2 linked regions of the Pelodiscus sinensis genome follow. The protein of the gene in region 1 interacts with the protein of each later gene in a pairwise test. Links are inferred from orthologs where the notes say so. Each region holds a gene or a part of one and is shown on either strand. Other genes may lie near its edges.

Evidence for each region.
Region 2: the proteins of SPA17 (region 1) and myosin light polypeptide 6 interact in binary tests that used the Homo sapiens proteins (3 or more experiments, as listed by UniProt). The two-hybrid records come from large-scale screens. The link is inferred for Pelodiscus sinensis from reciprocal best matches to the Homo sapiens genes SPA17 and MYL6B.

The regions. Positions count from the first base shown.
Region 1 is NC_134736.1:12,367,399-12,382,900, forward strand, and holds the start of SPA17 (sperm surface protein Sp17), read right to left. Parts: upstream 5,552-15,502; 5' UTR 5,411-5,551; intron 4,486-5,410; 5' UTR 4,471-4,485; coding exon 4,317-4,470; intron 2,699-4,316; exon of another isoform or gene 2,646-2,698; coding exon of another isoform or gene 2,570-2,645; intron 2,481-2,569; coding exon 2,410-2,480; intron 675-2,409; coding exon 615-674; intron 1-614. Other genes in the region: PANX3 (pannexin-3), read right to left, coding at 9,954-10,021, 12,575-13,239, 14,923-15,137. UniProt on the Homo sapiens protein: Sperm surface zona pellucida binding protein. Helps to bind spermatozoa to the zona pellucida with high affinity. Might function in binding zona pellucida and carbohydrates.
Region 2 is NC_134729.1:4,093,733-4,108,388, forward strand, and holds the start of myosin light polypeptide 6, read right to left. Parts: upstream 6,698-14,656; 5' UTR 6,595-6,697; coding exon 6,403-6,594; intron 4,223-6,402; coding exon 4,195-4,222; intron 3,294-4,194; coding exon 3,150-3,293; intron 2,109-3,149; coding exon 1,935-2,108; intron 1,514-1,934; coding exon 1,436-1,513; intron 1,318-1,435; coding exon 1,289-1,317; 3' UTR 1,275-1,288; intron 265-1,274; 3' UTR 1-264. Other genes in the region: ESYT1 (extended synaptotagmin-1), read right to left, coding at 10,330-10,363, 11,013-11,062, 11,171-11,276, 11,385-11,516, 11,906-12,004, 12,383-12,555, 12,843-12,989, 13,068-13,154 and 2 more. UniProt on the Homo sapiens protein: Regulatory light chain of myosin. Does not bind calcium.

The sequences.
Region 1 (15,502 bases):
CCACTGAGCATGGGGCAAATGACGGCCTCTCACATTCCCAGGAGTGACAACTGTTGGCAAATGCTGATTGTTAAAAACGCGGAGCACTGTGAACACGCTATCGAGCATGAGAGAGACTGAGGCACAGGGCAGAGGGGGAGCAAAAGAGAGCGGGAGACAAATCAGGCTCCCCAACCTCCAGCGGGGTGCCCCAGCTGGGACAGGGAGTCAGTTACAACACCAAGTTGCAGATAGAGCAGCCTATTGATTCATTAGCTGGGGGAGCGATTCATTAGCTCGGTGATCTAGACATTAGCATTCAGAATGGGGAAGGAGGGACGCAGAACCACACTACAAAGGCAGATGGAACACTGCTCCCCCCCCGCAACTCTACTGAAAAGACTCCCCAGAGCTGAAGGTGTGACTCCACACTTCCTTGCAGTCTGAGTGTGACTCTGGGAAATCACATGCAAGGGGAGGATCCTAAACCAGCTGGGGCAAAATGTGTCTCCTAAAAGGATTTGGGCCTGGGGACTGATGGAGCACTTCCAACTCCGGCCTAGCTATCTGGACGTGGACGCCGGGAGCAGTGCCGACAGAACCAACGTCCGGGCAGACCTCGGGAGAGTACTTACTGACTCTATGGCCGGATCTCTCACTGACTCCCTAACCTCTTCTTTCACAGTTGCAGCCTCCTGGAAGAAGATCAAAAAAAAGGAAGGTTTAACCAACCGTGACTTGAGACCAGAGGAGAGCGCCAGTGGGTCTCCTTAGAGCAGAGATGGGCCTGTCGGGGTTCTACGTGTGGCCCATGAGACATTTTGTTGCCCACGTGCAGGGTGGCCAGATTCCACTGCTTTCCGGCCGCGTCGGTTTTTTCCTACCCATATTATTAAAGGGTATGTCTACACTACCCCTCTAGTTCGAACTAGGGGGGGTAATGTAGTCATACAGAGTTGCAAATGAAGCCCGGGATTTGAATTTCCCGAGCTTCATTTGCATGAAGCCGGCCGGCGCCATTTTTAAATGCCGGCTAGTTCGGACTCCGTGCCGCGCGGCTACACGCGGCACGGATTAGCTAGTTCGGATTAGGCTTCCTATCCGAACTAGCTGTACACCTAGTACAGCCTAATAGGAAGCCTAATCCGAACTAGCTAGTTCGTGCCGCGTGTAGCCGCGCGGCACGGAGTCCGAACTAGCCGGCATTTAAAAATGGCGCCGGCCGGCTTCATGCAAATGAAGCTCGGGAAATTCAAATCCCAGGCTTCATTTGCAACTCCGTATGACTACATTACCCCCCCTAGTTCGAACTAGGGGGGTAGTGTAGACATACCCTAAGTGACATGCACATAAAGCCAGGGCACGGGAAGTGAGGTGTGGGCTGATTGCACACAACATGGACCATGAGAGCCGCGCACTCCCTCTGCACCCGTCACAGGCTCATGCTGCACACTCTAGGTACACCAGCGCAGGGAGCACAGCAACCCCGTCCTGGGAGACAGTGTTAGTTATGACATCGTGCAGCCACTGAGATGGAGGAGGGCCACTTGTGCGGCCCACTCACTAGCCTAGCTTGCCCCTCACTGTCTTAGAGGCTGTTCTGGAAAAAGGCTCCCAAATGGAAATTCAGCTTCTCTCCCTCCATGTGACACTGTATTTCTCCTGGTCCCCTTTCTCACTTCAAGCCCTCACTCAGCTTCCGTGAATGGGGATTTGCAGAGCTGAAGTCTGGGTTTCACAAGGCATCCGATTGCCACTACTGGCAACTGTTTTAACAGCACCAGAGTGTGGGCAAAACACCCCGGCGCAGCTTAGACAAAACCCCTGCCCAAAGGAGTTTACTGACTAATTTTTAAGTTAGCAGCAAATGCAGGAGACTGGCTGGAAATCAAGCTAGAACCTTGACTCCTATGTCTTTGTGGTCAACATGCACGGGAGGTCCCTAGCAAGGCCATTTCTAAACACGCAGCAGGGTATCACCTCTCTGTACAACACAGCGAAATATGACTTGTATCACACACCCCACGGAGCTGTCCATGCCCTGGAGGGGAGCTTGGGTGCCTTGCTCAGAGTGCTAAGACAACACAAGCCATGTTCCTGGATCTGGATCATGGGGGGCATCTGTCTTACTCTGCGCCCACGCTTCCTCAGCAGGCCGACTTCGAATGGGGAGCCAGGTTGAGAAATTGGCCCTATTTCTGACCAAGCCCATTCCATGGAAGCCATGTCTTGCCACAGTACAGAAGATGGATTTCCTCTCCATGCAGCTGAATGCGGAGCCTTGTGTGTTCAGAAGGAGGTTATCCTACCCCATTCTTCAGCTGCACAGAATAATCACAACGGCACCCTCTGACCGGAGGTGCAAAAGGGTGAGGGGCGATTTGGCTCGGTAGCCCTGTGCTCTGAAGGAAGAGCAGCGGCTCAGCCTACCTCGAAAGCTTTGTTGTTGTAGAATCTGTCCTCTAGTTTAGCTCCCCATTCTGCTGGGTCCGATCTGGATTCTGAAAATAAAAACCGACATTCTTGTTTGATCACATAAATGTCAAGAGAGTAATTAAGACAGGAAGCTCCCCAGTCAAATTACACTCACTGTGGGTGGCAGCAGGATGACAGGGAACATAAGAAGAACATAAGAACGGCCATTCTGGGTCAGACCAAAGGTCCATCTAGCCCAGTATCCTGAAGCAAAACTGACAGACTCAGAACAGAGGCAGCGTGGCTGTGAGAAAAAGAAAGGCTGTTTTCTGCACAGCCCCCAGGCGAGAGTCAAGGCCCTGCCAGCTAAGGAATGCCTTGCAGTGGTGGTTCTAGGAACAGTCCCAGAGGAGCAAACACACCCAGGAGCATCTAACATCTCGGGACAGAGCCACAATTAAAGCACACGGGAACAGCGTCCTCTCTCATTTTTCCCACCCCTGAGCGGAATCAATGTTGTTCTCTGACCAGCGAGATAACATGTCACTTGCTAATTGGGCACATAACAAAGTTCATATGGTGGGGGGGCCAAGGGGTTCTGAGTATGGAGTGGGACTCAGGCCTGGGGCTGGGGGGGTGCGGGCTCTGGGGTGCGGCTAAGGATGAGCAGCTTAAGGCTAGGACAGGGGGTTGCGAGGGAGAAAGGACTCCATCTGGTGGTACAGGCTATGGGGGTGAGTACTTTGGGGTGAAGGAGGGTGCTCCAGGGACTCTACTGCAAGGAGCGCTGACTCCCTCAGCTCTCTCGCCTCACAGCAGCATCGTGGACAGCACCGCTCCTCACCTTGGCAGCTCCAGGGCTGGGCCTCCCAGGCTGCAGCAAGGATGGGATGGACGGGCTCCAGATCAGGGCCAGGCTGCCCAGGCTGTGTCGGGATCAGGGCCGAGACTGGACTGCCCTGGCTGTGTCGGGATCAGGGCCGAGACTGGACTGCCCTGGCTGTGTCGGGATCAGGGCCGAGACTGGACTGCCCTGGCTGTGTCAGAGTCGGGCTGGGCCAGGTGGCCCTGGCTATGGCAAGTTGGAGTACAGACCAGGTGATGGTTGGAGTGATGGATCAGCCCTCCCCTGGCCACTGCAGGTTCCTGCCCTGCCCAACCTGCTGAAGCACCTGGCAGGTGAAATAGGTAGCTGCACAGCAAGGGAGCTCAGCGCAGGAGACCCCCTGGGCTGGCCAGGCTGTGCGCAGAGGCCCGTGCCTGCCGGCACAGCATGCACCAGCTTGAACAATTCACTGGGGCCTGTGGTGACCATGCTGCCTCCCATGGGGAAATGGAGATGACCCAAGAAAATGGCCCCACTGCAGATCCTAGAGGGACTCACGTGTCCAGAAACCGCTTGCCCTGGAGCAGTAAGCCAGTTACCCTCAGGCCCAGTGGCTGACCCTCACCCCAGGTTAGTGGGGTTCTCCTACAGCCCTGAGGGGTGGCCCCCATCACCCACAGGAGCCATTCAAAGCATAGGGTGGAAGTCAAAGTGAGAGGAGTAGCCTGGAGCCTGCCAGAACCAACCAGCCCCAGGAACCTCCTCCTGCCTGCCCCTTCCCTCTGGGACAGAGCATCAGCTGGCAGGCCAGGGGGGACCCACAAGGAGCTTTCGTGGGCAAAGGCGATAAAGGAAATGGGGCACAGGGAGACCAGAGCCCCGGGGGACCCCAGGAAGCAGCCACGGGCATTTGTGCAGTAACCCTGGGCTCAGTGAGAGCCCTTCCAGGGGGACAAGCCACCCCAGACCTGAGCGCGGATCCAGGGCTCGCTGCACCGCCCGTGGCAGAGCTGGGCAGGTGGGGATGCTGGAGGCGGGCGCCTGGGTCACCCAGCGGGAGCAGAGCTCAGGGCTCCCGGCTCCGCCCGCCACTCACTGTCCCGCTTGTCCAGCAGCTTCTCGAAGTGCTGGGCGGCGAAGGCGGGGATGTCCGCAGGCTGCTCCCGCAGCACCTCCCGGGCCAGCCCCTCCAGCAGGTTGGCGAAGCCGCACGGGATGCGCTGCTGGGTGTTGGAGAAGGGGATGGACATGGCGCGGCCCGGCACCTGCGGGGGGAGCGGGGGGCAGGGCTGTGAGACCGGCCGGGCCCGCGGGCAGCGATCGCCCCCCACCCCCCCGCGGGCAGCGATCACCCCCCCGCCCCCCCTCCGCAAGCAGCGATCGCCCCCCCCCCCCCCCCGCGGGCAGCGATCACCCCCCCGCCCCCCCTCCGCAGGCAGCGATCGCCCCCCACCCCCCCCCCCCGCGGGCAGCGATCACCCCCCCGCCCCCCCTCCGCAAGCAGCGATCGCCCCCCCCCCCCCCCCCCCGCGGGCAGCGATCACCCCCCCGCCCCTCCGCCCCGCGGGCAGCGATCACCCCCCCGCCCCCCTCCGCAGGCAGCGATCGCCCCCCACCCCCCCCCGTGGGCAGCGAACACCCCCCCGCCCCCCCCCCCGCGGGCAGCGATCACCCCCCCCGCCCCTCCGCCCTGCGGGCAGCGATCACCCCCCCGCCCCCCTCCGCAGGCAGCGATCACCCCCCCGCCCCCCTCCGCAGGCAGCGATCGCCCCCCACCCCCCCCCGTGGGCAGCGAACACCCCCCCGCCCCCCCCCGCGGGCAGCGATCACCCCCCCCCGCCCCCCCCCGCAGGCAGCGATCACCCCCCCGCCCCCCCCCCGCAGGCAGCGATCACCCCCCCGCCCCTCCGCCCTGCGGGCAGCGATCACCCCCCCGCCCCCCCCCGCGGGCAGCGAACACCCCCCCGCCCCCCCCCGCAGGCAGCGATCACACCCCCGCACCCCCCCCGCAGGCAGCGATCGCCCCCCCACCCCCCCCCGCGGGCAGCGATCACCCCCCCCCGACCCCCCCCGCGGGCAGCGATCGCCCCCCCGCCCCCCCCGCGGGCAGCGATCACCCCCCCGCCCCCCTCCGCGGGCAGCGAACACCCCCCCCGCCCCCCCCCGCGGGCAGCGATCGCCCCCCCCTACCCCTCAGCCGCTGCTCTCCGCAGTTTCTCGGACGCTTCCGTTGCCTGGCAACAAGACCCCGCCCCCCACCAGCTGGGGCTGGTGGCTGGGGAGGGACAAACGCGAAGCCAAACCTTGGCCCCGCCCATCTCCCGCTAGGCCCCGCCCCTGCCCAGGCCATTGGCACAGAAGAGCCTGGCCCTGAGGGCCCGCCTCCAGCCCCGCCCCCAAACCAGGGACCCTCTTCCTCCCCTGCCCACCCCTCTGCGTAGCACCTGTGAGCACCCGTCGATTGCACGGGACACCCAGCTCCTTGGCACAAAGACGGGACCCGGAGCCAGACCCAGCAAACCGCCTGCGTGCCGGCCGACCCGTTCGGACCTGGCCCTGAGCCAGGGGCCCCCTTGTTTTATGCCACTCCACTGTTTACTTCCAAATGTTGGGTTGTACCAGCTCAAATGCTTTATAGGCCTCTCAGGGCATTTCATCAAAGCTAGTACCCTTATCAAATTCCTTTGACCCATCTATTTTCCTTAAACCCATTTTGATTTGCATTTATGACTTACCTTTTAGTTTCCTAATGGGTCCTATCATCCACTCCATTAGCTTGACTGAGATCAATATCAAGCTGACTGGTCTATATTTAGTCAGCCTGTTTACCCCTTTTTAAAAAATTGGCACAACATTAACTTTCTCCCAGTCTTCTGGAACTTTCCCAGTGCTCCAAGACTTGTTTAAAATAATAATTAATGGTCTATTGAGTGCCTCAGCCAGCTCTTTTAAAACTTTTGGTTGTGGGTTATCTGCTCCTGCTGATTTTAAAATGTTTAATTTTGGTAGATTCTGTTTTACATATTGGTGAAATGGAACAAGTTATCATCACCATAGGATGAGATTATATCAGAAAGGAAATATTTACTGAACACTTCTGTCTTTCCTGCACTGATATTGATAATTCTACCATTTCCATCTAATAATGAACCAATACCATTATCAGATTTTTTTTGTCCTAATATGTATGAAAAATGCCTTCCTTTTGTCTTTAATTCTTCTGGTCATAGATGTCTCCTTATGTCCATTTGCTTCCCTTATCAATTGTCTACAGTTCCTAATTTCTGATTTATATTAATGATCAACATCAACTTAGAGGGGAGGGATAACTCAGTGGTTTGTGCATTGGCCTGCTAAACCCAGCCTTATGAGCTCAATCCTTGAGGGGGCCACTTAGGGATCTGGGGCAAATCTGTCAGGGATGGTACTTGGCCCTGCCATGAGGGCAGGGGACTGGATTCAGTGACCTCTCAAGGTCCCTTCCAGCTCTATGAGATAGGTGTATCTTCAGATACTAGCCAATTAGCCTGTCATAAGATGGGATTTTCAGGTCTCTCCTCCATGTTGGTCTTCTCTCCTGAGCCTCTGGTCTCTCGCTCTGTGTATCTTTCTCTCTCTCTCCGCCTCCTCCTACTGCCTCCCCCCCCCTCTCAGCTCTCCTCTGCCTTCTGTCTCTCTCTTTCTCTTCTCCGCCTCCTGCCTTTCACTCTCTCTCCGCTCCTCTGTCTCTGTCGGGGATGCACGCTTGTCCAGGCCCCATGGGTGTGTACGTCACCGCCCAGTCCCCCTTTGCCAGCCACCGTGGTGCTCAGCTGACTTCTGCGCCGCTCAGGCGCGCCGCCCCGTGGGAGCAAGCAGTGCAAGCGGCCGTTTGGGCCCCGCACTCTCCATGAAGCACCCCCGTGTTGCATGGGGAGCGCGGACCCCAAATGACCGCTTGCTCCTGCACGGCGGCCCAGCTGAGCAGCGCAAAAGTCAGCTGAGCGCCACAGTGGGAGGCAGCAGTGCCGCCCAGAGGGAACAGCCAGCATTTCAGCACTAGAGTCACAGACATTGGGCTACTATATATATATGATTATTTAAAGTGTGACACTTTCTTCCATTTATACATAAAAGTTTTTATAGATGTCTTCACTTCCCCTCTAAACCAGTTTAGTTTTTTAATGGGCCATAGCTTTTGTTCTCATTCGTGGGATTGCAGCTTCTTGGGCACTTGGTAAAATGTACTTGAATTATTCCACATTATTCCACATATTTTTCTAATTATTCTTCCTCCTAGTGTCAGCTCATAGTTGTTTTCAGCTGTGTAAAACTGGCCCCGTTAAAACACCATAACATGAAATGTCCCATTTCATTTACTACTAAGCCCATTTAAATCAATAATAAGTTGGCGTGGCTGGCTTGATGCCATTCGGGGACTGAGCTTGCTGCTATCAAGTCAGGCTGCTTTGGTTCATATTTCAGAGCATTCAGACAGACCCGGAAAGTTTCCTTATGCCTATGGCCCGTGGAGGCAGAACAGCACTCCAGAGGAGAGCCAGAGAATTGGTTACTGTGGGATAGCTACCCGGCCCTTCGCTTGAACCCGGCAGTCCCATGGGCTACGTCTAGACTGGCATGATTTTTCAGAAATGCTTTTAACAGAAAAGTTTTCCGTTAAAAGCATTTTCGGAACAGAGTGTCTAGATTGGCACGGACACTTTTCCGCAAAAGCAGTTTTTGCGGAAAAGCGTCCATGCCAATCTAGACGTGCTTTTCCGGAAAAAAGCCCCAAGGCTACAATAGTGGAAACACAATACTGCCCTGCTTACTTCCGGGCTGCTGCTGGTGACAGTGCTACCTTCTGAGCTGGGAGTCCAGCCAGCAGCCGCTGCTCTCCTCTTTGGCTGCCCAGCTCTGAATGCAATGCCACAGTCAGACGTGCAACTCTGCGAGCCCCTACAATAGCCAGATTTCACAAGGGGCTCATGGCTCTTTCCAGCCAATAAACACTTCACCTTGTCACGTTAGGCGGAGACTCCCAAAGGCACCTGCGGGCTTTGGATACATTACAGTTCAGGGGAATTGGATATTCCAGGTGCTACCAAGCAGAGAATATTTTTGTCTCTGCATGGGCAGATTTGACTGTAAATGCCCAGGGCCCCCAGTGCCGGCCTAAGCTCTGGAGCAGACCCGTGTTAACATCACGGACGAGGCGTTCCGCGTTATTTACACCGCTTCTGGTTCTTTTGAGCTAAGCCAAGTTATAGGGCCATTCAGAGCCCCTCTGCCAGGAGGGCTTCTTGGCTGCAGGTTTGATTAAGGGCTGGGCCAGCCTGTCTGTGTAAGGACTGAGGCCAGCGCCGGCAGGAAATACAGTCTGTGCCCTTGTCCAGGGCGACTCCCATTACTGACACCACCAGCACTGGGCCAGAGTTGGAGCTGATGATGCTTTTGCACCCGCTGGGCTCTGTGCTGCCTGCTGGGCCCTTGGGGACACCATCTCCCTGACTTGGTGCGAGGGAGTGTAGGGATTTGCATAGCAGTGCGGGGGAGGCCCCAGCCGTGACGCAGCCACTAGATGCATCCACAAGAGGACAGCCCGTCCCAAGGGGCAGAGAAGCAGACCTGGGGGGAAGAAAGTACTTACAGAGGGAGGCCTGGAGCACGGAGCTTCTCCACTGCTCAGCACCCAGCATGGGCAGCTCCAGTGCAGAGATGGGAGTTGAGCTGCCGGGGGCCTCCACAGTCCCTCAGGCCGTCTGTGCCAGGCACTGGATCCAGAGCTCCCGTGTCCCACCGGACCCTCCTCAGCCAGGAGCCGGTGGCTTTAAGAACTGCCCCCAAGGCTAGCTACAAGTAGCATGTCTCCCGCCCCGTGCTGTCTCCTCCCTGCCTAGCACTGGCCCCAGCCTCTGGGCAGAAATGCCGCTTTACTCTCTTGCTTCAACATACGTGAGTGCCAAGGGAGGGCGGCAGAACTGCTGCCTGCTCATGCAGTGAACGCCAGCCCCCACTCTGCCTCCAGCGCGCCTGCTGGAACCCCCTGGCTCCAAGGGATTGAGTAGCCTGCTCTTAGAGCTATCGCCCGGCCCCAGGAACCCCTCTTCCCCAGTCCAGGCTCGGAGACCAGCCCTCTCCCTGGGGGACTGGCCACCTCTGGTGTTTACCCGGCCCCTCTGACCCAACTGAGTGTCCCAGGGCTGCTGGGGTTCTCCTCCCACCCCCTTCATGGCAGGGCCATGCTGGCAGGGCCAGTATGAGTTGGCAGAGCAAGGTGCAAATCACCAGCACGCACACTCACCCAGCCCGGCTCCCCTCACTGGCGCCGGGACCAGACGCACCCGTAAAGAATGAGCCAGACACAGTGCTCACTTGGAAATGAACCATTTTCCTTCCGCCCTCGTGCCCGGGGCCGCTGCTCCTCTCCGTGCCTGTGGGGCCAGTCGCCCTGAGCTCAGTTCTGCCCAGCAGATCAGGAGCGAGTGCTGGGGCTGCTCAGGGAGTAATTGCTACAGAATGAGAACCGGGCCCCACGGCGGTGCTGTGTCAGCTGGAGGCAAGGGACCAGCCGGGGGATGACTGGACCGGCTCAGATCAAGCCGTGGAGACGCGCCAGGAGTGCAGAGCCGATCCTACCGCAGTGGGGGGCTGGGTGAGCTGCCTGGAGTTGCCCTGGGAATTTATTCTTGGCTCCATTGCTCAGTCGCCCAGAATGCCTTGTGAGCATGCGGTGGGGGCTGCACGCCCAGCCTCAGGAGGAGCCAGGCAAGCCTGGCTTGCAGCCAGCCTCTCTCTCTGCACCTGCGGCGGGTTCCGCGTCTGGAGGAGGGAGAGAGGAGACAGTCACCAGTGGCGGGGGCAGTATGCCCTTTATTTCTAAGGGAGAGACCAGCCGCACCTGCCTCCCTCAGGACTCTCCTTTGTCCAAAAGACACGGTGAGGGGTTCGGCCTCAGCCCCCCCACTGGGTAACGCTGGGGGGGAACTCTGTCCCGCTCCCCTGGCGCTAATGAGCACCAGCCTAATGCACGAAGGCGCCTGGCTTGGTGTCTGATCGTAGCTGGCTACTCACGTGTAGCCGATCCCCAGGCAGCGAGTGCCACGTGTGTACGTTGTGCCCAGCGCCCTTGTGTCCAAGGTACTGCCCTTGCCTGGCCTCTCCTACAGGGTGCCGGGAGGCTCCCTCTCTTAAGAGAGGCTTCAGGGATCTCTCCAGCAAACAGCCCCAGGTTTTCAGGGCGCCTGTTCCCTTCCCTCCAGCTGCCTGGCCTGGGCACTGGGATCCTGGCTGGCAACTCCCTTGGCTCCACTCTGAGCTCTAGCCACCGGCACAGCTGGTTGCTCTGTACCTTGGCACTACTGTGGGGACACAGGGACGCCCCCTTAGCAGCAACTCGGTCACTCCTGTGGGGAGTCACTGAGCCGAGGAAAGAACCAGAGCTGGGTACCAGGCAGGGCCTGGATTCGAACCCAAGTCCCCCACCTCCCAGGCTGCTGGGCCTGCATATCTCTAGCCCTGTGCAGGGGTGGCAGCTACAATCAGCCCATGCCCATATCCAGGGGATCCACCCCGTGGCACCAAGCTCTGCGAAAGGGAGGAAGCAGGTTGTGGATCCCAGGCTATCCAGGGGCTGGAACAGCTGTTAATGACCCAGGTGCTTTTCAACCAGAGATCTCAGGGCACCACCCACAGGGGGAGAAGGATCCTGCTCCCATTTTACAGAAGGGGACACTGAGGTGCAGAGGGGGAGGGAGTGTCACAGCCAATAATAGCAGAACAAGGAAGAGGAGCCAGGAGTCCTGGCTCCCAGGCCCCAGTTCCACAGCCCAGGATTGCATTTGCGGGGGGTGGGGGGGAGAGACCGGTCCACTGATCAGAGCAGCAGCCATGAGGCACAAGACAGCTCCCCTCTGCAGGGCCCAGCCAGTCCAGAGAGCAGGCAGCCAGCTGGATGCCACCCCACAGAGTGCAGGAGCTGGGGAGGGCCAGTGAGCACAATGGGGCAGGGGCAAAAACCAGGGCAAAACGGGGTATGTAGAGCAAGGGGCAAGAGGGCCAGGCAGTCAAAGAGCTCAGGCCGGAGTGCAGGGGACAGGCCGGGTCTGGAGCCCTGGCGGGGTAGGGCAGTTCCCGCGGGGAACGTTTGCTCAGGCAGCTGCCAGGGCGTGGGAACAGGAGACAGGCACAGGGGAGCCCTAAATTTCCAGCCCAGCAATTGACCGCCAGCACCCACCAGAGGCCTTTGGGGACCCCAGAGAAGCAAGGGCCCAGGGCTCCTGGCTGCTGCCCCATGGCCTGCAGGGCCAATGCTAGGGGGGAAGTCCCCCAACGGCCGAGCTTCGGCTCCCTCTGCGCCGCGCAGGCGGCCTGGCTCTCAGCTACCTGCTCGCCAGTGAAGCTGGTTCAGCCGTTACTATGGCAGCCGCCCGCCCACATGCAAAAGCCAGACGCTGCCAGGAAGCCTCAATGCCCCAGAAAGGTGGGTTGGGCCCGTCAGTGCCTACACCAACCAGGAGAATGCCCCTTTCTGCCGCCAGTGGCCGGCTGCCCTCTCGGGCTGGCCTGCGGCACCCGGTGACCTGCCCAAGGCACTGCTGCTGCCAAAGAACCGGGGGCGGCGGGGGAGGAGGTTGTGAGACGGGCCAAGGAGCAGGCAGGTCCCCTCCGCACCAGGCTGGGCAGAGCCGGGGATGCGCCCGTGGAGTTGGCTGTGCCTGTACTTGTGCCCTGGCACGTCTGCGTTCCACAACGACTCCACGCAGGGTTTATCCACCGCGCTCACACTCCGACATGGCCACTTACTGGGGCAGCCAATCAGGGAACAGACAGAAAATCACATGACTTATGTAACTAACCTGCCCTTTGAATTTTTCATCGATAATGAGGGGCTGAGGAATGCCCTGCAGCCAGTCCTCGGCCTGGCTCTTGGGGCAGGCCCCCAGCAGCATGTGTGCCCCACACAACGCCCTGGCCCTGCTCGGCTGAGCTACAGGCCAGCTTCTGAACACTGGCCCTTGGCCTTCTCCCAGGACACACGAGGACTGGGCAGTTCCCTGGCAGACGGGGGTTCACTGCTCAGCACCAGGATCCCTGGGGTGGGGGGGAGAGGTAAGGAGACGCCAGCAAGGAGAATGCAGGGCGACAGACCAGAGAAGTCTCTCCTGGACGTGCTGGGCACCCGCCCAAGACACTCGGAAGGGGGCTGCCCAGGGCATGGGGACCAGCGGGGGAAGCTCACCCCAAGCCAGGTGCCCAGATCTGGCGGGGAATGGGGGCAATTTGCCAGCACTGCTGATTTTTCATTGGCTTCCCACCAAGATTTCCCTGCTTTGATTCAAAGCAGCCCAGAGGGAGGCTCCATCTGACTCTTACCCAGGACTTCACTGCTCGGAGCAGGGGGGTTTTCCTCAGCACTCGCCCCGCAGCCCAGGGGGGGCGGTTTGGATGTCTCCAGCCCGGCCAGGAGAGTCATGAAATCCACCACAGTGTCGATGTGGTGCGGGCCGGCAGGGGCCTGGCTCAGGGCGCAGACAGCGCTCAGCCGGCTGAAGGACTTGAGCTCCGAGATGTTGGCCTGCAGGAAGAGGAGGATGAGGTTGAGGTCGTTGAGGGGGCAGGTCAGCATCTTCCTGCTGAGCAGGTCGAAGGCAGGCAGCATCTCGTAGACGGCCAGCAGGCGCTTGTCCCAGTGCAGCAGCTGCAGCACGTTGTAGAGCAGTGCGGGCGCCAGCAGGGCGTAGACCCCCCCGTTGGCCAGGCTGATCAGCTGGAAGGCGGAGAAGGCGACCAGCTTGCAGGGGATGACTGTGGGGACCTGGGGTGCGTCCCGGAGGAGCCCACTCTTGACGGAGCAGCTGAACTCGTCTTGCACAAAGACGCGGAGGAGGAGGAAGCCCAGGTAGAGGCAGGCGGCGGCGAGCAGCAGCAGCAGCAGCAGGTTGCGCAGCAGGTAGGCGCCCACCAGGCTGTGTGAGCGCTGCTTGCAGGCCAGGTAGCGCTCCAGCAGTGGGAACTCAAAGTACCGCTCCCGGCGGGCCCTGCGGAGACACGGGCGGGGCAGAGCCTCAGCAGGGTAAATCAGGCGCTTCCTGAAGTCGCTTGACACCTGGTTAGAGCCTGCCCCTGCTTTAACCGGCCACAGAGCCGGGAGAGGGGGAAGAAGGGACCTCAAAGGTCAGCTAGGGCAGCCCCTGCATGCCCTGGCCCTGAGCACAAGGAAGCGATGGGGGCTCAGGGACAGGGCACACGCTGGAGGGGTCTTGAGGAGTCTGTTTCTCCTCAGAACGTGGTTTCGTCCGGTTTTTCTCATCTGCAGCCAACACGTTTTAATTTCATTTTATGCCGAAAAAGAGCCATTTCCAAATGCTGCTCGTGTGCCTGTCACGGAGCGTCCGCTGCCACCCAGCCGGAGCAGGACACGAGTCACGAGAAGAAATTCAATGCTCCTCTGCCTGCTCCACCGTGCAGCCCGCCCCCTCTGCTCGCGCAAGCAAACCGGAGACACGGGAGCTGAAAACCCGGGTCACCCCCGGCTAGCAGGAAATGGCTCCACCTTTGGGTGAGGGCTGGGACGTCCGTGCAGGCAGGACTGGCGGGCCCAGCCACCACAGAGCGGCAACCTCTCCTTAGCAAATTAACTCCAAGTGCAAATGCAACAGGCTCCAAAGAGAGGCCTGGGTCCGGGTTCCTGCCTGCTGATTTCCATCCAGGGCGGAGTGGGGCCTGGGTTACTGGATGGGTTCTGGGGCAGAGACCCACCCAGCCTGGGGATCTGGAGGCCCTTTCTGCCTGGATCAGGCCTAAGGACATTCTCCAAGGAGACCCTACGGAGATCCCTCTGCCCTGCCCACCGCAGAGCTCTCGCCCCGGGCTCCAAGGGTCTGGATCCCCTCCAGTGCGATGGTGGCAGCAGGACTGAGCACACTGGGAGGGGAAGACCAGGGACCCAAAAAGCCAGGGTCAGTCCTCGAGCCTGGACTAGGGTTGCCAGACGGCTGAAAGAAAAATACCGAACACCCCGCCCCCTCCTCTCCCCCCACACCGGGAAAAAATGTTGTTGCAGGAAAAAACCCACGGGAGGGAGGTGGGAAGTTGCTGAGCAAAAAACCCACAAACACTACGAGAACCTGGATCACTGCTAGGGGTGGAAGGGGGGGGGCTGGAAACAGCTAACGGGGGGGCCAACTGGAAGCAGGGCTGGTCGGGGGGGGCGGGTGGAACGGGGCTGGCCGGGAGGAAGGGGGAGCAGGAAGCAGAGGTAGCGGGGGCGGGGAGAGGTGCAGTGGCGCTGCCCAATGGGAGACAAGGAAGAGGAATGGGCCGGCGGGAAGCACAGCTCGGGAGGGATGCAGGGGAAATGGGGGAGAACCAGCTTGCCGGGAAGGGGGGGGGGGGAGCAAATTGGCTGGTGGGGAGCGGGACTGACCTGGGCACTTGCTGCCCGTCCCGCGCAGGCTCCCGGCGACGCACGAGCGAGGAGGCTTCCCCTCCCCCTCCCACTCAACCCATTGAGGGCTCCCGGCAGCAATCGCGGCCTCTCCTCCCAGCTGGGACGCCCAGCCACTCCCCCGCCCCCGCCCCCGCCAGGCTTCTGTCCCGTGTGAAGCTGGGAAAAATTTGCACCTGTGCGGTATTTTCCGATGTTTTTACCGGACAGAGCGTGCAAATACCGGACTGTTCGGTGCAACGCCGGACACCTGGCCACCCTCGCCTGGACTCACTTCTCCAGCTCCTCCCAGAAGAGGCGGGCATCGGAGCTGGCCTGGCGGATCTTCACCATGTGCTGCACCAGGCGGATGGAGCGGTTGTAGGACTTGTCCAGCTCGTCGATGATGAAGAGAAGGTCGGAGTTGAGCGCAGGCGCGGCCGTGTATCTCCACAGCAGGGAGGGCAGGTACATGACCACCGCCATGAGCAGCAGGGAATAGGGGAAGGCCTGGCAAAGGACAATGCAATGGCTGAGGCTAGAACACTCCAGGCCGTGGAGCTGCCCATTCCGCAAGCTAAGGGCCAGGCAGGCAGCCCCAAGCGATTACACAGCACTTCCTGCCTTCCCATGGGGAAACTGAGGCTCTGGGCAGCGTTGGGTCAAGGTCCCAGAGTGAGAGGTTGAAGCCGGTTCTGCTGAGCCCCAGCCAGGGCACTGCCCACCAGGCCACCTTGGGAGGCTGCACTCGCAGCAGAGAGCTCTCCAGAGGAGCCCCTGCAGCAAGGACTCTGGGTCACGTAGCGTGACCCTGGGCAGGGACTCCAAGGAGGCTCCTGCTTCTCCGCGGAGGTGGCTTGTCCGGGAGCTCAGTG
Region 2 (14,656 bases), on another chromosome or scaffold:
GATCTGCTTAGTGGGCTCCCCTGGGCTGGGCCGTTGTTCTCGGGGGGACCCTGCGACACCCCCCTTGCTGGATCCTCAGCCACTGGTGTCCTGAGGCCTTGGAGACTCCGGTCAGGCGTTTACAAGTCCTTTGCAGCGGCCATTGGTGGGGGAGAGGGGTTAGAGAGAAAAAGGGAGCAGCGGACATGCCCCCCCCCCCCGCAGACTGATGGGCCTAGGAGTCTTCACCGGAGATGTCAGGTGCTTAGCCCCATCCTGCCCGGCCTGGGGAGAGAAGAGGAGACAGTGAGAGGCCCCGTGTGGCCCATCTGGGGAGCTGGGGCCCCATTTGGGGCAGGGGCAGGAGGAGGAGGAGCCGCCCCAGAGCTTCGCTTTGATCTCAAGCTCCGTGCCCCGGGGCACAGGCTGGAGGGAATCTCTCCCCGGCACAGCGGGGCCAGCGGGTTGGTCTCAGGTGCCCCAGCGTGCGCAGGGCACCCGCTGTGCCCGCAGGATGCTGGCCTAGCAGAGGCGCTGGGAGCCGGGGCGGTGTTGGTGAGTTGGAGCTTTCGGGAGCCCCGCAAGGGACGTGTGCTGAGGGGTGGGGAAACTGAGGCACGGGAAGGGGCTTGCCTGAGGCCACGTCAGAGCTGGGCGTAGGGGCCAGGCACCCCGATGCCCTATCCTGAGTGATAAAAGCAAAGCCTCGCTGCCCCCTTTGCATGGGGCTCTTCCACCCTGGGGCCCCCCTGGGGCTCTGGAGGCAGCTCCCCAGGCCCCTCAGAGGTTTGATTGCACCCTGCAGGGCCCCGTTAGGGACACGGTGCTGCAGAGTGGAGCTGGGCCGGTCTGATGGTCTTGGGCCACAGCTGGTACCAGAGCTAGTTCACCAGGCTTGAGCCAGACTCACGCTGGCCCTGTCTGCGGGCATCCTACCCGGGCCTGTTTCTCAGGCAGCATGACCTAGTGGTTAGCACGCGGACCAGCATGCGGGAGACCTGGCTTCTGCGCCTGGCTCAGCCACTGACCTGCTGCTCACCTTGAGCAAATCCCTCTGCCTCAGTTTCCCCCACTAGAATGGGACGAAGGACGCTGAACTGGGAGGTATTCCGGGGGAGGGGATCGGCCGGGAAAACACATCTCTGCCAGAGCAGAGGGGTTTTACGCTACACAGGTGAGCGAGGACCTGCCCAGGGCCTGGCAAAGAGGCAGGGTCGAGGGGAAGGGGGTCTCAAGGTAGAGAAAGGAGCAGCCACCCCCAAAAAGGAGTCTGACGAATAAAAGGGGGCACCTACCCCATGTTGCCTGCTCAGCCAGACAGGATGTGTTTGACGAAGGCTGTGAGGGGAGGAGAGAAGCATTAGTCACAGAAAGGGGCCACTGGGCCCCCCCCAGCCCTCTGGCTCAGAGCCTGCGGCCAGAGGGCCCCGAGTCCGGGCTGACCCTGGGCTCCCACCTTCGTAGTTGATGCAGCCGTTGGCGTCCTCATGCCCAGCTAGGAGAGCGTCCACCTCCTCCTCCGTCAGCTTCTCGCCTGTGGGCCGGGGGGGGGGGGGGGTTAGCGCTGGCGAGAGGCTCAACCAACACCCAGAGGATCCTGTCTTTGCCCAGTGACAGGGCGTCACGCCTCTGGCACTCGCCCCGCCCAGGTGCCGGACTGACAGCCCTGTGGGGGCCGAGTCCAGGGAGCCCTGTAATGCCCGACCGCCACCCCTCCCCTGCCCCAGATGGGTCCAGCCTGGGGGCGGTAGGGCGAGCTTGCCCATCCGTGCCCAGGGGAGCCGAGTAGCGGAGCCGCCTTGGCACAGCCAGGGCCATTGGCAAGGGGCTGTGCCAGGCCGGATACCTGGGGGTCTCTGCCCCAGATTCACTGAGCCTCGCCAGCCTAGGGGCAGCTGTCTTGGCCTGGGGCACCCTCCCCCTCCCAGCTGCAAGGGGCTGGCTCGGGCGCTCACCGAGTGTGGAGAGCACGTGGCGCAGCTCGGCCCCCATGACGGTGCCGTTCCCCTCCTTGTCGAAGACCCGCAGCCCCTCCACGTAGTCCTCGTAGGTGCCTTGGTCCTTGTTCTTGGCGATGGTCTGCAGCATGGGCAGGAACTGCTCGAACTCCACCCGCCTGGAGTTCAGCTCTGCCGGGAGGGGGAAACTGAGGCTGCGCCGTGGGACTTGCCCCCTGCCCGAGCCCAGGGGGGCCCTGCCATGCAGCCACCCCCACGTGGCTGGGGAGAGGCGGTCCAGCACCGCATGGGGCCCCTGATGCCCCCGTCACATAGCCCAGCCACACCCCATGGCATGTAGTGGGGGCCTCCTCCCTCTAGGCCGGAGGTTCCCAAACTTTTTGGCCTCAATGCAGACCTTTCTGCGGGCCACCAGCCAGCCACCCATGGTGACAAAAGAGGTGCAGGCGGGGGCTGAGGGGGGAGGGGCTGGGCGGGAGGTAGGGAGGTACAGGAACTGTGAGGAGGTGGGGGTAAGGAGCAGGGTGGGGATATGGGGTCTCAGCAGGAAGGGGATGTGGGGTCTGGGCATGTGGGTGATGGGGGGTTGCTTATCTGGCTCCATGCTCCCAACTGCTCCCAGCCACCACCCCCTGCTGCTCCCATTGGCCGTGATTCTGGCCAATGGGAGCAGCGGGAAAAGCCTCCAGGTGAGCAGTTTCCCAATCTGCTTTCTCCCTTTGTACGCTGGATCCAGCCAGCAAGTCCCACCCCCCCTGCAGCGGGGAGGGGGCCGTGGGACTAGAGCACCCGCTCAGGTGCCCTGCTGTGGCGGGGAGGGGAACCCGGAGCCCATGGATCACACTTTGAGAACCACTGCTCTAGGCTGTCCCTGGAGGGCAGCAGCAGCCTCCTCTGGGCGTCCCCTGGAGAGGGACCCCTCTCTGCTGACGCCAACAATCTCTGAAAGGCTCCAGCTCCACTCCCATGGGAGCCCCCCAGAGCAGGGGGGCCTGGAGGAAACGCCCCTTGGAGACCCGAGGGGGTCTCCCCCTTAGAGCAACTGTGCCAGACCCCCCCCAGACTCAGGCACGTGCCCTTACACCAGGATCCAGACTTCTCCCCCCTCTCCGCCATCGCTTCCCGCTTCCCCTGACTCCGGGCGCTGGGGCTCTGGGCACTGTCTGCTAGCGCCCAAGCCGCCCCCCCCCCCCCCGGCGCCTGCTCACTCACCATCGGGCTTGGGGTGGCCCAGCACTTTCATGACCTCGGCGTTGGTGGGGTTCTGGCCCAGGGCCCGCAGCACGTCCCCACATTGGCTTAGCTGGATCTTGCCGTCCCCAACCCGGTCGAAGAGCTGAAAAGCCTCCCTGTAATCTGGGGGGTGGAGCGGAGCAGGTCAGAGGGGCTGGAACCCCACAGCCTCGGCCCGTTTAACCTGCCTGCTTCATGCCAGGATCGGGGCCAGACTGGAGGGGGGGGGCACAGCCCGGTCCAGATCACCCTTCCTATTGGCATCCAGTTGTAACTGGGGCCACGCCCCGGCGCAAAGCCCAGGAATCGCCAACCCCAGCAGGAGCCGGGGTCCTCACCCCGAGACCTGTGTCCCCCCATCCCAAGGGACACCATCCTGTATGGCCCCCGCAGGGAGCATCACAGAGATGCAGCCACCTCTGGGGTGAAACCTGGCAACTGCTTAGTCACCACTGAGATGCAGCCACCTCTGGGGAGGAATGCGACAGCGGCTAAGCAATACCACCCACGCACCGCAGGACAGGAAGTGACGCCCACATCTGTGTCGGATTGCAACTACCGGGGCCTGGCTGAACGAATGCCCAATTATGACGCTGGGCCCAGGTTAACGCCTCTCCCAGCGTGGCCGTGGGATGGCTCCTTACCACACGAGGGCACCAGAGCCTGCTGCTTTGGGGTGTACAGGACAGGGCGCCCACAAATGGCCCAGACCTGCTACTGCAGCAAGGCTGAGGGAGGGCTCCTTTCGCTCACATGGCCAGGGTGGTGGCTTTGGCGCAGAAGGCCAGAAGTTCTAATCCCAGCTCCTTGCGGCAGGCCTAGAGATTTACCCTCCAGGTTGGGATCAGTTTCTGGGGGAGCCCCTCCAGGCTGAGAGCTCTCTGTGGCCAAAGCCCAGTGCCCCCCTGCAGGCTGGTGCCATGTAACCAGGCACCAGGAGAAGATCCCCCAGGCAGGAAACAGCTGGATGTAGTGGGGGCAGGCTGGTGGAAGTGCTGCCCTGCCACACAGACGCATGGCTTACCTTCCAGCTCCTCCTTGTTAAACTCAATCTGCAAAGAGAGAAATGGATGTTAACTAAGACAGGGGAGCTGCACAGTCTGTTACGGACCTGGGCCCGGGCAACACGCTCTGGGGCAGAGCCAGGGCCCGATCCTGCTACATGCCTCATGGCAGGGGGATGCCTCGGTCATTACCTGCCTGACCATAGGCTCTGTGGGGCTGCCAGCCATTGGGGAAATGCAGCAGCCAGTGCTGGCCTTTGGGAGGTGGGGCAAGCCATGGGTCTGCTGTGAGCTCCTCCCCGCTTCTGGTCTGCAATGTGTCCCATGGCATAGGGGTCAGGTGGGGGGCAGGATGGGTGTGATGCTGATGGTGAAAGGGCCTGTAAGTTTTGATCCAGATCAGATGAGGGCTGAGTCTGCTCCTGCCCCAGCTGGGGGGGCTGTGGGGATGGGGATGGGGCAGAGACCCTGGCTCAGGGTCATAGGGACACCAGGCCCGGTCTCGGCCAGCAGGGGGCGCTGGGCTGGGCATGCAGCTGAATACATATAAGGGCCTGATCGCCCCCTGGTCACACTCTTTATAGGGGCCCTACCTCACTGCCTCAGGAATTTTGCTGCATTCTGTCCCCTGCACAGAGGCCTGGCGGGTGGGGCTCCCCGGCCCCCGCCACCGCAACCCGACCCCCTTCACACAGAAGGTGGCGGCCTGGCAAAGCAGTGCCCGGCGCTGGGGCTGAAATAAATCTGCCTGGAAAAGGGGGTGCTAATCCCCCCACCCGCGGCCACCTGTTCCCGAGCCGGCTGCCTGGGAAGGCAGGCCCATTCCAGCCCTGTCATTAAAATAACAGGGGCCTGCTCACTGGCTAAATTTATCCTGGCCTGAGCTCAGGGCCCCCATCTGTGACTGTCTAACAGCCCCCCCCCCACCGCCGTCTCGCTGGCAAGGGGCTCTGGCCATTGTTGGAAAGAGCTGGAAACAAAGCCATGGTAGAGCTGGGAATAACACCAGCTCTCAGTGTCCTAGCTCCCAGCGTCCCCACCCCCACTCTAACCCCTAGACATCACTGCCCTTCCAAAGCCAGGGACAGCACCCAGGAATCCTGCCTCCCTAATCCCCCTCTCTAACCCCTAGACATCACTGCCCTTCCAAAGCCAGGGACAGCACCCAGGAATCCTGCCTCCCTAATCCCCCTCTCTAACCCCTAGACATCACTGCCCTTCCAAAGCCAGGGACAGCACCCAGGAATCCTGCCTCCCTAATCCCCCTGTCTAACCCCTAGACATCACTGCCCTTCCAAAGCCAGGGACAGACCCCAGGAATCCTGCCTCCCTAATCCCCCTGTCTAACCCCTAGACATCACTGCCCTTCCAAAGCCAGGGATAGCACCCAGGAATCCTGCCTCCCTAATCCCCCTGTCTAACCCCTAGACATCACTGCCCTTCCAAAGCCAGGGACAGACCCCAGGAGACCTGACTCGCTGATTTCCCCCACCACCACCACCATGTTCTAACCACTAGACCTCCCACCCTTCCTGGCCACTGTCTAGGAGCTGGTTGCTTAGATGAGTCTCCGTTAGATTAAGCTGCTCCACGGACCCCTCCCATCCCCTGCTTCAGTCCCAGCTCTGCTGTGAAGCGCTGGAAAGCGGGTGAGGATAGACCGGGGGGCTGGAAGCTAGCACTCTTGGATTCTGGTCCCAGCTCTGGGACAGCAGTGGGATCTAACGGGGGGGGGGGGGAGGAGGGCTATCCGGACTCCTGGGTTCATGTCCCAGCTCTACCACTGGTTTACATTGGGCAAATCGCAGCACCCACCTGTGCCTCAGTTTACCCATCTGAAAAGGGAAGAATAGTGGCCTTCACTGCAGGAGGGGGGGTGTTCACTCCTCTGTCCCTGATGAAACCTGGGGGAGCCCCCGGCCCTCCAGCAACCATCAGGGGAGCATGTGGGGGAGGGGTGCCATCCCACCCACTGCAAATGCAGGCGCTGGGGGGAGGGGCAGTATTCGGGGCCACGGGGAAGCAGGTGGAGAGGGGTGCTAGTCCCAGGGGTGTTTTCTTATCTGCCCAGCACTGGGCAAAGTGGGCAGCGCGGTGCAGGCTGGGGTATCCTCTCCCATTCACATGGCAGGCAGGGTGGGTTTCTATTTGGGGTGCTGCTACCACCTGAGGGGAACCCCCCCTCAGCTGCAGTCCTGCCCCCCCCCCCGGGTGACGACCCCACATACCACCACTTTGGAGAGGTCGATCGGCGGCTCTTTGGGTTTCTCCGGGGCCGGGGGTGGGGCCGGGGCCGGGGCCGGTTCTGGGGCTTTGGGCTTCGCTGCTGCAGCCGCTGGCTTTGCGATGGCTGGTTTGGCACCCGGCTTGGCTGGCGCAGCCACCGGCTTCTTCACCGGCAGCTCCTTCTTGGGGGGCATGGCGGCTGCGCCCGGCGGCTCGTGCAGGCGGAGGCGGCTGTGGGGCCGTGGCAAAGTCCCAGCCTGGGGCTGCCCTGCCTGGCCCAGCTTAAATAGCCCGGGGTGACGTCAGGCCGGAGGCGCGCTAGATAAGGGCAGTGCTGGGGGAGAGGGGGGGCTAAACGGAGAGCATCATTCATTGTCAGAAGTGGCAGCCCCCCCCCCCCGCCCCCGCCATCCAACTCCAGGGCTTTTCTTAGAGGTGAGCTCCCGGGAGCAGCCATGCCAAGCATGCACCAGAGAACCAGGCCGCCTGCCAGAGGAAATGCCCCCCCCCCCCGCCCAAGCAGGCTTGGAGGGGCATGAGCGTAGGGCTGGTGAAGGTGAGGGCCGGGCCAGAGACAGGGGGCAGCGGCTTAAGGACCCAGGAGTCCTGACTCCCAGCCTCTCCCCCGGCCCCCCTTGCATCTGGGCTCCTCCACAAGCCACCAGTGCAGGGCTGGGGAACCTCAGCGCCCCCCCCCCCCCGCACTGCTCCATCATGGGGCTGAAACACACAAAATCTACTAGGCTGAGCACCCCCCGCCCCAGGCTCGAACGTAGCACGTGTCTGTCACCTTCCCAGTGGGGGGCCACGTCACTTGTGGCCCCCCCACTGATTTTTCTGTGGGTCAGCAGCCCCCCTGCTCCTGCACTAGCACCTCGGCCTCCCCCCCTCAGGATTAGAACCCAGGCGTCCGGGCGCCACGCAGCAAGGCCTGGGCCGCGTCTCTAGCCCCTCCGAAGTCCAGGGACGGGCAGGGGTAGCAGCGATGGGCTGGGGACACCGCTCTGTCAAAGCTGGGCAGACAGCCTGGTCCGTGGCTGGGTGCTGTAGGCCACAGTCCTGGGGCACTGAACGTGGGGGTGTGTGTGTGTTAGGGGGGTACTGGCTGTGACTGGGGAGGGTGGCTTCAGCCGAGGATTTACCCCTTCTCATATGCTGCTGTGAGGTACGGCCGGCATCCGGCACTCTGCACGGGGTGCCCCGAGCTCTAAGCAGCTACTGGGGGCACACCCCAGAGGTGGCTGCAGCGCCGTGAGAGTCCCTCGGCCCCTGGGTGGGTTGATTAGCACCTGGAAATTACCCTGAGTGGAAACAAAAGGGCCTGTCCTGATCTGGCCCTGGGCCCAGCCCTGCAGGCTAAGCAGGGGTTGATGGAAAAGTCCAGCTGGCTGCTCCCCCGTCACGGTTTGATTAGGGCTTGGCTCACGGCCCGACGTGCCCCCCCTGCCCTGCAGTCCCATGAAGCGGGTTTCTCCGTAGATTATTATTAACGAGCCTGGCAGGGCGCCCGCGGTGCTGAGCAGGGACCGGGGCCCAGCGCCACCGGCTGAAACGTGACTCGGGCACCTGAATGCCACGAAGTTTCCAGCGCTTCCCCTTGTTGACAGGGTGCTGGGGGGGGGGGATCCCGGCCTGGCACTAGGTGGGGAGGATGCAATTCCCCCTTCATATCCGTGAAACTGGCTCCCCTGCCCTGACACATGAATCCTTAGGGGTGGGGGCAGGGCCTGACTGTCTCCCACGCCAGCTCATTCCCCCCTCCCCCAGCTCTGCACCCTGGGTGGGGCTGTGCCCACCCTGTGCCTCAGTTTCCCCAGTGAAACAGGGCCGCTTCCTCCCCTCCGGAGAGAGACGAGGACTCACAGCCCATGGAACCGAGGGCAAAACTGGACATGTGGCCTAGCCCCTCACAGGCCCCATATCGGGCCCACAAGGGAGCAGCTCTGGCCCCACGGAGATCTCCTTCCCCAGAGTTGGACCCAAGAGAAGCAGCAGGGGCGCTGGGGATTGGGCAGGGCTGGTAGAAGCCCCTTGGGGCTCCAGGGGAGGAGCCGCAAGACAGCACATGAACCCAGCTTTGGTGGCTAATTCACCCCTGCTTCATCGCAGCCCTCCTGCTGCCAGGCCCCCACCTCTGGGGCTGCCAGGGCAGCTGTTGGGCAGAGGGGCTGTCTTGCTGGGCAGTGCCTGGCCGGGGCAGAGCCCTGCACATCCCCCTTCCAGCAGGGGCTGGTGCCAGGTGAAAGCCAGCTCTGCCCAGCGCTGGCACTGGGGCCAAGGTCAGTGTGGGGGGGAGTGAGCCACTGGGCTCCAAGTTGCAGCTTTAGCCTTCAGTGGGCAACAGTGTTAACTTAGGCCTGGCTTGTTCCCAGGGAATGGGGGGGAGCCCGGAAGGGGGGGGGCAAGGCAGGCCAGGCCAGGCCGATGCTTCCTCCCCCTCCATCAGACCCAGCTCCCACGGCTGGGATGCACCCGGTACATACAGGAGGGTAGAGCGCACGGCTCCAGCAAGAGCTGGCCACTGGGCAGATGGGGAGGGGGAATCTAACCTCCACCCAGCCTGCGGCAGGTCCCTTCCTAGGCTGGGGTACCTGGGAACTGACCCCAGGAGTTAAGAAGTTGGCTGGGCCCCTCAAAGGTGGGACATTCCCCTCCAGGGATGGGGTTATCCAGCAAGCATCAGGCTCAACGGGAGCTGGCAGCCTGGCTGCAGTCCTCCCACGCCCCTTTCATTCACTAACGACATGAGAGTTCAGGTCCCGGTTCCCCTGGGACCCAGCCCTCCAAGGGGACATCAACGTTGCTGGGCCAGTCGGCTCCTCACTTTTATTGGCAGAGGCGGTTACAACGGTGCCGGGCGAGGGGCTGGCCTGGCGGGGCAGGCGGTGGCTGCCACAGGCTGGTGGATTCTGCTGCGGAAGAGGCTGAGGAGGTGCCCAGCTGGTGCAGGCCCGGGCCGTGTGGTGCACATGCTCACAAAGCAGCAAGTTCACAATGCAGATGGATACAGAGCGAGCGTTTGGGGCTGGAGCGGGGGGCAGGAGGAAATCCGCCTTCGCCCTGCCCGGGGGGGGGGGGGGGCAGGGCCGAGCCTTGTGCCCCGTCCAACCAGCCTGGAGCCCCCCCCCCCCATCCAGCTGCTTTTAAACAACTAAAAGGCACCTGAGATAAATAACATTAAAAAGCTGAGAAATTGGCACAAGCAAAGACAAAACATTCAACGAAACTCTCGGGGGGGGGGGGGGGGGGGGATGGAAAACAAGGCGAGGGCCTTGGACAGGGCGAGCCACAGCCACGGCCCATAGCGCAGAACAGGCAGGGCTGCATGTCACAGTGGGGGCGGTGGGTTCTCGTGATGGCACATGATCTTGGGGGTGGGGGCATCTGGGAGCTTTTTCCTGCCGGGGCTGGAGGAAGATACAGCACGTGGGGGATGGAAATCATTCCTTCTCGCTCCACAGGACAGGATCCCTGCCCTCCTCGGGGCCCCAGCTGTGCCCGTCACCCTGGAATCTGGGCTCTTCTCTCTACCGCGCTGGGACAGTGCCGTGTGCCAGCTCGGACTTGCTGAGCACCGCCCTGCAGGGCCGTCCGGCACGGTCTGCGTCTCGGACCCGGCTGGTGGGCTCTGGGGGGGGGCTGACCCCTGCCCCACGTCCTCACCTGCTGCATCTGGACTGATGCCCGCTGACAAGGCCCCACCCCCTTGCCCAGCTCCGCCCCCAGGTCCGTTTTCTTTGGTCAGTTAAAAGGCAGAGAGCATTTGGCATCCTCGGGGGGGCCGTGGCTCCCCCACCCCGGCTCCCCTCTCCATCGCGTCCCAGGGAGCAGAAGGGGCGAGAGGCGGGCTTAGAGACACGCAAGCGAAAGCCGGTGCCGCCAGGGGGCCTGGGCTGGCCCCAGCTGGGAAGCGGGGGAGTGTCGTGGCACTAAGAGCTGCTCCTGTCGTCTTTCAAGTTGTACCTGCAAGAGCAAAGGGGGGGGGCATGAATGGGGGTGCCCCCTCCCAGACCACATCCCACCGCCATGCGGAGGTGCCTTTGCAGAGCTCAGCTGGCTGCCCGCTACTCCCCCCACAGGGCGCTTGGAAGTGACCATGGGGCTGGGGATGGCGCCCCAGGCTCCTGGACCCACAGTGCTCAGGATCCCCAGTGTGGACAGCCCAGGTTCCCAAGGGTCCCCCCCCCTAAAACATATGGAGATATACTTATCGCATAGAGCTGGAAGGGATCTCGAGAGGTCATTGAGTCCAGTCCAGACCAAACATCATCCCTGACAGATTTTGCCCCAATCCCTAAATGCCCCCCCCCAAGGATTGAACTCACAACCCTGGGTTTAGCAGGCCCATGCTCAAACCACTGAGCTACCCCTCCCCCCGGGGGAGCCTGAAGTTCTTCAGGGCTAAGGGGGTGTGGGCACAAGGCCCCCCCCAGGTCTGGGGCTATGGAGCTCGAGAGGAGCCACTGGCCCTGGACTTCGGCTGTGGGGTGCACCCAGATCCGCCCCATTGCTAAGCTGTGGGGGGTGACCCCTCCTTGTATTGCTCAGCTGGGGGAGGGGCATTCCCAGACTGCTCAGCTGGGGTGCTCTTAGCCACCACCCCTCTACTCACCACTGGGCCCTGCCCTGGCTCAGGTCCATCTGCGACAGGTCAAGATGCACCTGGGGGAGAGAGGCTGCGGTCAGCTGATCGCTCCCCCACCCGTCTCCCCGACCGGAGCCCCACTCGAAACAGGAGGCCCAGTGGTAACCATGGCGATAGCCCCTTACCTTCCCCAGGGGCTCCCTCTCCCGGGACATGAAGGAGACGCTGTTCTTCACGCAGGCCTCCAGCTTCCTCCGCGCGGCCTCTTCGAGGGGCATCTCCCACTCGAACCTGCCGGGGGGGGGGGGGGGGGCACGAAGCCATAAGATGGGACTCGGGCCAGCCCAGGGGCAGAGATCTGCCCACGTCCGAGTCCCCCCCGATTCCCTCCCCCCTCACCTCTCGCTGAACTCCGGATTCAGGGTCCTCTTCCGCACGGTGGTTTTCCTCTTGGTCACGCGGTTCTTGTCGGGCAGGAGGATCAGGGAGACGTAGGGGTCGGGAATGTCCTTGGAACTGGCCCTCAGCTTCCTGGCAGGGGACAGAGCATGGCCCAGCTGTACTGGCCGGCCGCACGGCTGCCCCGCAAGCCAGAGGGGCATGGCCCCTGCTGGGGGCCCAGGCTGCATGGGCACGGGGGCGACCCTCGCGGCTGGACCTCAAAGACCCAGACAGCTGCAGGGAGGGAAGCTTCAGGGGGGGAGACACCAGCTGAGATCCGAGCCCCATTATATTAGGCTCGTTAGTAGTAGTATTACGGTAGCCCCCCGCAGTGGCATCTTGAAGTAGGGGGGCACAGCCCGCAGCCGCGTCCTGCTGGCCAAGAGGACTTTACAACTCATACGGGGTAGCCAGAGAACCCAGCCCCCCCTCCCAAGGAGCCCCAACTTTTCCATATCCCCATCCCCGCCCCCCCTTACCTGCAGGAATGCACGACGACAACTAGCTTGCGCTCGTCCGTATGGTACCAGGCTGTGAGTTGCAGCTGGCCCAGGGGGCCCTCTGCCAGCTCCGAGTTACTGCGGCGAAGAGAGGGGGCAGCATTACAGGGGCCCCCAGAATCCTGCCCCTTTGGGCAGGTGCATTATTAGTAGAATTACGGTAGCACCAAGAGGCTCCAGTTGAGGTTATGGGTGCACCACTGTCTGCCCATTATTAGTGGCATTAGGGTAGCCCCATGCTAGCGCACCTGGTATTAGTGGTGTTACGGTAGCTCCTAGAGACACCAGCTGAGATCTGAGCCCCATTATAATAGGCTCATTATTAGTAGTATTACGGCAGCACCCCCCCCCCCCCAGTGGTGACTCCTGGCCAGGTGAGGAGGCATAATCCCCCAGGGAATGGATGGGAACCCCGGGTGCCCCCCAGCTGCACCCCCCACGTGGGTGGCCCCCCACCTGTCCGTGTGGGTGAGGCGCTGACGCAGATCCTGTGCGGGGCTGGCACCCCCGGGGTCCCCGTCTTCCCCGGTGTAGAGCTCCAGCCCCGGCCCCCACGCGTGGCTCTCGGCCTCGTCACCGGCTGACGGGGCGCTGCGGGGCTCCACCCCCGAGTGCTGGGACAGCAGGATCTGGGGGCAGAAGGGAATCAGAGGGGTTCGGCCTCCAGTCCCCCAAGCCCTGAGCCGCCTTCACCCCACACATCACGTGCCCTGCCCCCCCACACCAAGACTCCCAGCCTCACACTCCATGCCCCCCCTTCGCCCCCGCACTGAACCCCCTTGCCCCACGCGCCCCCCCCCCCCAGTTCCCTCACCCCATGGCCCCAGCCGCTCACCCCATGTATCGAGTGCCCCTGCACACTCCATAAACTGAGTCCCGCCGCCCCCAGCCCTCCCCACCTCTCTGGGCAACTCACCCTGAGCTGCACCCGCAGCAGGACCTGGCTGGTGGGGCCGGAGCGGGTGAGCGGGAACCAGCGATCCAGTGTCAGCGACTCGGCCGCCAGCAGCTGGGTGAGGGGCAGGCTCAGCGCCCCCAGGCCCTGCCCCCCCTCGTCCTTCACCTGCGGGCAGGAGGGACGGACAGTCAGGGCTCAGGCCGAGTCAGACAGTGCGGGAGGGGGCACTGGGGGGGGATTTACCTGCAGCTCCAAGGACTCCACATGGGGACGCTTGACGAGGAAGGAGAAACCTTCGTCCCAGATGGGCTCCGCGTTGGCACGGGAGACCTGGGGGGGGAAGGTGGAGCCTGTGAAAGCAGAGGAGCCAGGACCCCCCCCCCCCGAACCGCCAACCAGCTGCCACCCTCCCCTCAAACTCGCAGGGGTGCCCCTCCCCACAGCACAACCCTGGGTTCAGGTACCCCCCAATGCCTCCCCCTCCAGCAGCCCCCACCACCAGGCCAGCCCCCAGACCACCCCCCCACCCCACAGGGCCCCATCCAACACCCCCCACCTGTCCTGGTGCCTCTCCCCCTCCAGCAGCCCCCCCCACCAGGCCAGCCCCCCCATCCCCCGCTACCTTGCTCTTGTGGGACACCTCCTGGACGACGAGGCTGACGTAGGGGCTGGGGGGCTTAGAGCCCTTCAGGAGCTGTGGAGATGGGGAGGTGAGTGGAGGAAATAGGGGGGCACGAGCCCCATGGAGCTAACCGAGCCCCCTCGCCCTCCAGGGACTGGGGGGGGGGGGGTGTGGCCACTCGGGCTGGGGGCACCAAGCTGTGCCCAAGGCCCCCAGCCGGTGATGGGGCAACCTGGGAGCCTGCCCTGCTTGGGGTGACTGGCACCGGGTGACGCTGCGCTCTGGGGGCGTCTCCAGCCCCACCAGGATGGGGGCAGAGTGAGCAGCCCCTGCAGGGGGCGGCGCTGGAGGCCAGGGCGCGGAGGGGGCCCAGGCGTCCGAGGGGGCGGGGAGAGCAGGCGGGGGGCCGGGGCGCGCTCACCGGCAGGTTGGCCGCCTGGTCCAGGAAGACGGAGAGCAGGGCGGACGACAGCTCCGCGCTCTGCTGGGTCTGGATCAGACTGTTCACCATCAGCACCTGGAGGGGAGCCAGCGTGAGCACGGGGGCCACCCGGGGCAGTGGCTGGGCCAGGAGACCCGGCGTGAACCACGAGGGCTGGGACAGAGCACGTGCCTGGCACGCAGCCCTGACGGTGCCCCTCACTCCCCCCCCAGCTCTGCCCCCCCAGCCCTGACGGTGCCCCTCACTCCCCCCCCAGTCCTGCCCCCCCGCCCTGCCAGTGCCCCTCACTCCCCCCCCAGCTCTGCCCCCCCAGCCCTGACGGTGCCCCTCACTCCCCCCCAGCCCTGCCAGTGCCCCTCACTCCCCCCCCAGCTCTGCCCCCTCCGCCCTGCCAGTGCCCCTCACTCCCCCCCAGCTCTGCCCCCCCAGCCCTGCCAGTACCCCCCACTCCCACCCCAGTCCTGCCCCCCAGCCCGGCCAGTGCCCCTCACTCCTGCCCTGCAGCCCCTGCCCCCCCCAGCCCTGCCAGTGACCTTCACTCCCTCCCCCCAGCCCTGCCCTCCCAGTGCCCCTCACTCCCACACTGCAGCCCCTTCCCCCTACAGCCCTGCCAGTGCCCCCCACTCCCGCCCCAATCCTGCCCCCCAGCCCGGCCAGTGCCCCTCACTCCCGCCCCCCAGCCCGGCCAGTGCCCCCCACTCCTGCCCCACAGCCCCTTCCCCCCAGCCCTGTCCCCCTAACCCTGCCTGTGCCCCTTACTCCTGCCCT